Drosophila melanogaster: one gene and its partner. The protein of the gene in region 1 interacts with the protein of each later gene in a pairwise test. Each region holds a gene or a part of one and is shown on either strand. Other genes may lie near its edges.

Evidence for each region.
Region 2: the proteins of Pp1-13C (region 1) and Sara interact in a two-hybrid assay, tested with the Drosophila melanogaster proteins (2 studies listed by BioGRID).

What each region holds. Positions count from the first base shown.
Region 1 is NC_004354.4:15,359,376-15,363,132, forward strand, and holds the start of Pp1-13C (protein phosphatase 1 at 13C), read right to left. Parts: upstream 1,687-3,757; 5' UTR 1,416-1,686; intron 1,347-1,415; 5' UTR 963-1,346; coding exon 54-962; 3' UTR 1-53.
Region 2 is NT_033778.4:21,480,087-21,483,843, reverse strand, and holds the start of Sara (smad anchor for receptor activation), read right to left. Parts: upstream 1,918-3,757; 5' UTR 1,752-1,917; intron 1,641-1,751; 5' UTR 1,620-1,640; coding exon 801-1,619; intron 652-800; coding exon 1-651. Other genes in the region: Sdc (syndecan), read left to right, coding at 3,661-3,753.

The DNA of each region.
Region 1 (3,757 bases):
GTGTTACAATATATAAGAATAAATCTAGAAGCGTCTACAGATCTCGCTGTCCTCTACTTCTTGCGCTTCTCGACAGGCTTCAGGATTTGGAAGGAGCACATGAGTGTATTGTCCACGGACATCATGGCACCAGCATTGTCGAATTCACCGCAATAGTTGGGGGCGGAAAACAAAGTGACCAATTGGCGCTTGGCAAAGAACTCGTAACCATCCTCGACGACTTGATGGGCACGACAGATCAGATCCAGATCGTGCTTTTGGAGGAACTTGACCACAACTTCGGCGCCAAAGGTGAAACTAACGCCACGGTCGTTCTCGCCCCACCCAATGGTGTCCTTGTCCGGATCGGACCACAGCAGGTCACAGAGTAGTCCCTGATCGGGAACATCGGTGGGACGCATAATACGACGGATCTGCTCCATCGAGGTAAGATCCGGACTCAGTCCGCCGTGGCAGCAAAAGATCTTCTCATCCACAATGGCCACAACTGGCAGACAGTTGAAGCAGTCCGTGAATGTCTTCCACAACTTGATGGTATATCTGCGCTTGCACTCGTCGTAGAATCCATAGATTCTATTAATGCTGGCGCACTCGTGATTGCCGCGCAACAAAAAGAAGTTCTCCGAATACTTGATCTTGTACGCCAACAGCAGGCAGATGGTCTCCAGCGACTGCTTGCCCCTGTCCACGTAATCGCCCAAGAAAAGATAGTTAGCCTCCGGCGGATAGCCGCCGTACTCGAACAGACGCAACAGATCATAGTACTGGCCATGGATATCGCCGCAGATCTTGAGCGGCGCCTCCAGCTCTAAGAGTATGGGCTGTGCCAGCAGTATTTCGCGCGACTTGAGGCACAGGCCCCGTATCTCACCCTCCGACAGCTGGACATTCTTGCCAGGCCGTGCGCCACGCACCTCCAACAGACGGGAAATTATGCTCTCCAAATTGAGAACCTCCGCCATGGCCTCGGTCTTGGGGGCCGCGGCTGCGTTGTCCGGGCTGGATAGGACAATCGTCTGGGACGCCGTTGGGGCTGCTTGTCAGGGACTCACCCTGAGATCGCGGCTGTCTGGAGAATGGGACTGGATCCTCGGCGGAGCTGGTCTATTTGGGTCACAAACTTAGCTTCTTGGGTGCAGCAAAATGTATGTCCTGATGACGTGCACTTTTTGTGATGATTTGTGAATTTTTCGATTTACTCAATACCAGGTGCTCAATACCAGAACATAACCGAATGGAATTGCTTCTTCTCGATATGTGGCGGTGAATTGTTTAGCGTTCAGCTTTTTTTTTCTTTTGATTCTTTCACAAAATGCCTAATAAAAATGTAGGACAAATTCTCGCTTCTAGAAAAAGTGAAAAGAAAAAGGTTTGACAGCTTGATTAGCTATATCGATTGAAATCGATTACCCTACCTTCTCTAAGTTCCTTCTAGTGGTGTGCAAAGTCCAGCTGTTGTAATCTAAATTCTAGAATCTAGACATTTGACCTCTGCGTGCTGTACTAGCAGTCGTCTTTAGATCGTGTTTTTTTTTTTTCGATTTCGCTTCTCCGGAAGTTAATGAAAATTGAGGATCTGATCGGATACACATGTGCTGTTCACTAAAACGCACTTTAATACTCTACATTCGCGCTTTTGCGGTATCTTAAAAATTTTAAAAAAAATTTTGATTCCGGAACGGTGACCTTTATACTTTTCAAAGACTAAACGAATGACAAATCGACGACAGACAAGTCAGTGACTACATCGCATTGTTCCAGTTCGTGTTTCATGGAAATGTGATGGTATAGTGATTTCTCAGAAACTTTTACAATAGAAAATATATATATTATATAAACGCATTTATTTGTATTTTCTTCGCATGTTCTAGGTTTTAAACTAAAATAAACGATACCTTAACCATCCTTATAAGCTGTCTTACATCCCGCGTTTGCAGTACTAGAAAGGTATTATTTAAGTTGGTCACCCCTGGAAAAGTGTGCCGACCCTCGTCTGACCCTCGCCCATTTGTTCATATTATCTCTGATTGAGTGGAAAACTTGAAGTTGCCGAGTGCCATTTGCTGTGCACCCCGGTTTTGGTATATTGTATATGAGCTTATTTCGTCGGATTTCCCGGCTAGTGTGGCCACTAATTAGCTGCAATTTGTTGGCGCAACTTGAAAAATGGCAGTGTAAACAGGGTATTTTCCAGTGTCCCAATAATGAGGCAATAACCCCGCATTTTTCACATACATACCATATATATACCATATATATATGTACACATAAGTATATTACATAAATAGCGAGCTGTTCGAGCTGATTGAACTGCTTTGTCGGCTGTTGGCGAAGGGCTCCACTGTACAGTGTGTATCGTGTGCTGGCGCACCGCAAAGCAAACATTCAAACATTCAAACAGCAGCGGCATCGTTTATTTTGGGGAAACAAAGGACCTCATTTTCCCCCATTTGTTTGACCAGCAAGGCAGCAAGGACAACAAGGACAACAGGGACCAACAACAAGCGGCCAAGTTTTATAAATGGCTTGGCCATTGTTGTGCGCCCGCCGCTGTTTGTTGAAATTAATTGGTGTTACACAAATGAGTAATTTTCAATGTACATAAATATTTGCACAAATTGCAATTTGTGTTGTGCGGCGGGGGATTGTCGGTGAGAGGGGGAGTAAGGGGGCGCACTCACTTTCGAGTGCTGTTCAAATAGCCATTTTTATTGTCAAGCGCTAATAATTTCCACAATGAATAATATGAACGGCAAGCATCTGTTATTATTCCAAACAAATCAAAACAAGTGCAGTCGAAACGAAACCGTGTGGGAGTGGGAGTGGGCCAAGACTCTTGAGTGCTGAGCCCTGAGCTTCTGAGCCAGTGATATTCAGAGTCCTGCATCCTGGGCATCCCACCCTGCGCTGGCATCCTGGCCACACACAAATCTTCATAAATTGCAACGGCCGGGGCGACAGTTTTGGGAATTGAGACAAAGTGCGAGAAGTGCCTGTGTACAGGGGCGAAATGCGAAAAGGGGTCGCCAAATGGGAAAATGATACACTTTACTTTACTTATTTTTACACATACACACACACGCACATACGGAAAGGACACCCCGTCGCACACAGACACAATCAAGGAGCAACAAATTGCCGCATAAATGTGGGGTGGTTCGCCACCTAATAGATTTTATTTTATTTTTATATCCGCCAGACGCGCAGCCAGCGGCCAACTTTTTTCCTACTTGTCGTTGTTTTATTTATTTATTTTTTTTTTTTTTGGCAGGGGGTTGCGATTCATGGCCTTACTTACTTTTACTTTTCACATTTTTACCTTTTTACCTTCTTTTTTTTTTTTTTGCCTCCGCCTTTTCGATCACAAGTAGGTGTAGTGGTTGGATGAGGGGGAGGGGAGCGGGTGGTTGAAGGCAGCTAGATTTCACGGGAATTCCCAGGATATTCTGCGCTGTTCGAAGGAACAGCATCCCACATTCATTGTCTCTAACTAACATTGAAAATTTGCCATAAACTTAAGCATATTTATAGCAAGCAGTTCAAGTCACAGGGGCTTTTTTTATATTTATGAATTTATTGAAATTATCAAGAATATAATTTTTTATGCAATTAAAATATGACTTTTAAGTTTTTCACTATTGTAATGGAACTAGAACTGGAACTAAAACCACAACAAAATTAATAAAATGAGATGCATTTGTAAATATAAACAAATGACCTTTACATTTTTATAAACTCATTATAATGGCTGTTATTT
Region 2 (3,757 bases), on another chromosome or scaffold:
TTCCCTGACTTCGGTAGGCTGCAAAGTTTCCTGTTGAATTTCGGGATTTTCATCTTGAGATGGCGTGGAACTTTCTGCCTGGCAACCATTCAAATTTAGGGTTTGTGGTCGCTGGGGGCGCTGCTCTTGGGTTTCCAGGGCATCCGTTGCCAGGCTGGCATCTTCATGCTCTCGATCGACCTCCACTTCGCCATCTAGTTTCCTGCCCGAAAGGGAATCCGATTCCGTGCTGCTGAAACTGGAGGCTACATCTTCTCCCATCGCGGTAACTGGTGTGGACTCCGGCTGCTTCAGATCAGCAAACTCCACAGTGGAGGCCTGCGAAAAGTTGTCCACGTTCATCTGATCGTTCGAGGTTGTCTCCTGCTCATCGGATAGAATCCGCACCGACTCCTCCTCGGTCACTGGCGAGGCGGAGCAGGATTTCTCATCGTCGGGCATTTGCTGATCGTCCGCCTGGTTGTCATCTGCATCCATCTCTTGCAGCATGCTGTCCAGTTCGGTGTCCGAGATCTCGTCCATGGTGGAGCAGAAGGTCAACGGTTGACTACGCCTGGGATGCTGCTCCTGTGGCAGCTCCACATCCTCTTCTTCCGTTTGTACTGGCTGCTCCATCTCTTTAGGGACCGGTACTTCCGCAACAGATGCTGGCTGAAAATGTAACACCATTATTAATAAACTATACTATATGTCAAGATAGTTTATAACCTTAATTGATTTATGAAGCTGATAATATTTTTAAACTAATGCGCTACACTTATTAGTCATTTACACAAACAAAGTAAGGTAATAGTACTTACTAAATTGGCCAATGGGACATCTATGCCGTTGGTCATTTCGGTTTCGGGTTCTCTACTGGGCGACGATTCCTCCGAGAGCTCCTCGAGGACCTGCCCGAGAACAGACGATGCGGTGACCTCCTCCGGCAATAGGGATTGCGATTCTGTGCCGGACGCAGTGATGGAGATGGATGACAATCCAACTGCTAACTCCTCTACAGTTTGTTTGGATTGCGTTGGCGGTGGAACAGCCTGATCTTGGTGCTGGTCCTCATGCTTGACCTGTTCCGGCTGTTGATCCTGTTCCTTTGGCTCCACCTGAACTTCACTCGTTTTCTCATCTTCGGGGGGCGTTGCTAGCTCCTCCGAGTGACTGCCATTGCTCACGGGCGACGGACCCGACGAGAAGGTGGAACAGGATGAGGTGGTCAGCGATTCGGAGGACGATACTATCGTCTGGCCGTTATTTTTGGACGCCTGTTCGCTGAACTTGTGGATGTCGTCTTCGTGTTCCGCCTCCGTTTGCCAGTCGTAGCTGGGTAATTGGGCATCCACCTGCAAGGACTTCACATTTTCCCTGTAGTCATCCAGGCTGTTGAAAACCTGAGAGACGCCCACAAAGGACTTTCCAGACGCCGGTGTTGGTGTTACTCCCGCAGCTCCCGATACTCCGGCGCCAGCTCCAACTCCACTGATCGATGCACTTGCTCCGTCGCCCAGAAAACGGCCAGGATTTGCACCTGCAGCTGCTGCTGCCGCTGCATTTCTACTCAGCTGCTCATCGGCGGCAATGCTCAGTTCCAGATTGTCCAAAACCTGATCAATGTCCACCAAGTCCATGGCCACCAAATCCGCAGAAACCTTAAATAAAATTGAACCAACCAGGTTTATCTGCTTGCATTTTCACAAAAACGCAAAAGAGAAAAAACAACACAAAAAGATGTGGAGAAAAAACGGTCTTGTGATTCATACCTTTTTCACACCTCGAATATAGTCATAACAAGGCAATGAGGAAAACAAGGACGTATTCGCCTTTAATAAGCAATATTAAGCACCTGCAATCACCTTATTTACTTTGTTTTCTTCTCGCTAATTTATTAACAAAAACTCGGTGACGAAAAACATTGTAAGAAACTGCCTAAAAATAGCCATGGAAACAGTGTTGCAAAGACAAAAAAAATTAAGTCAAATTAGCACCTTTCTCATTTAGTATTTTATGATGCTATCTCGTTCTATCTTTCTCTATAATCTGTTACTGTTACAATGTTAACATAAACCGTAACACCTTTTCAAATTTGAAAATAATAATAGGTAAAAGCTGTCGGGTCCTACACGAATATGAATGCTTCAATTGTTCAATATTAATGCGTATGAATTCAAACAAATCTATTAACATTGGGTCTGGGAAATTTTAGCCGCCAGTCTGTGTTTTTAAAAAAATGTTGGGTTGTACAACTGAACTAACAGTATCACAGAATAACAGTGAACGTACGAGCAACCGAAACAGTGTAAATCAGTGTAACCGCAGCTTAGCTCAAGAAAAATACTATAAGCATTTAAATATGAAATCTTGCCGATTTAAATGAATTCAAAATGTTAATTATATTTGATTGAATTATTATTTGCCTATCAAACATTTAATAATTCTATAATAATATCTTAAGCAAATCATGTAAACAAACAGTAACATAAGAATAAAACCAAAAAAATTCAAGATGTTAAAGTAACATTTTTAATCGCGAAATTGTAACAGAAATATATAAATTTTAAATGAGTACGCGTTTCGGAGTGTCTATTTAAGTCATCACCCAGCTAAGCATAAGAATTGGTATTTTTTAGGAAATGCACAGCTTGGATAATTGAGTCGTTTCTGCATCTGGTAACATTGGCCAAGTCATTCGAAAAAATTTTACGGAGCGAAGAAGGCACGGTTACGTCCGGATTTTAGCGCGATTTCGTGTCTGTTGTTTGGTCGGCACTCGAGTGTAAAGAAATTTGTACATCCCCGAAAAGAATCGCGAGTGCAATTTTGTAAATACGGAGAGGAAAAGGTGCGCAAAATAGCAAAAATAAATGCAACGAAAATAAACGCAGCAAAACAACGGGCAGAAAGATACGAAAAGAAGAGGCAGGCGAAGCAGAGGAGAAAAGAGACACATAAAGAAGCCGCCATAGCGGCGTTAGTGGGAAAGAGAGGGCGCGAGAGGAGACGGAGAGCGAATACGAATGCGTATGGTGTAGTTGTAGTGGTGGGCGGTCGTGTTTTTTTTCGTTGAAAAATCTCTGGATTCAAAGGGAAAAACAGAAAAACAAAAGGAAAATACAGTGTATTATACGAAAAATTTGTTAAATTTTATGTTTTTAAAATTATAAATTACAAAAATCGAATTCGATTAAAACACCCACACACACACCAATACACACAGTAGTTGCGCTGTTGTCTCCTCTTTATTTTTGTGTTTTTCTCTCTGCGTAAACGTTTTGTTTATTACCCCCGCTCTTCTACTTCCTTTCTTTGATTTTAGCCGCGCGCGCATACGATAAATTGTTGTTAATTTTACAGTGTGTAATGCTTAATTAATACCCTGTCTCTCCAACCAACGCTATCTCTTTTGTTTTGCAATTCGATTGATAACACATCGGGAATAGTGTGTGTCTGGAAAATAAATAATCATAATAATCATAGTTTCATGTGTGTATTTAAACAGCGTTCTTCTAGTGTGAAACCAGTTTAAAAAGCTGCAAGAAATATATATAGCTCAATATATATATTTATATATGTGTGCCGCCGCCAGTTCTAATCTTTAAATCAATAAACAAAACTGGAAGCCATTAGCTGAAATCACAACAACAGCAACCGCAGAAGAAACCAACGGGGAAAATGAAGCCAAAGCAGAAGATTTCCGTAGAGCCGCTATTGCTAGTCGCAATTCTCATCGGAGTTCTGGTAGCCGCCACCCACGCTCAAGATCAGGTAA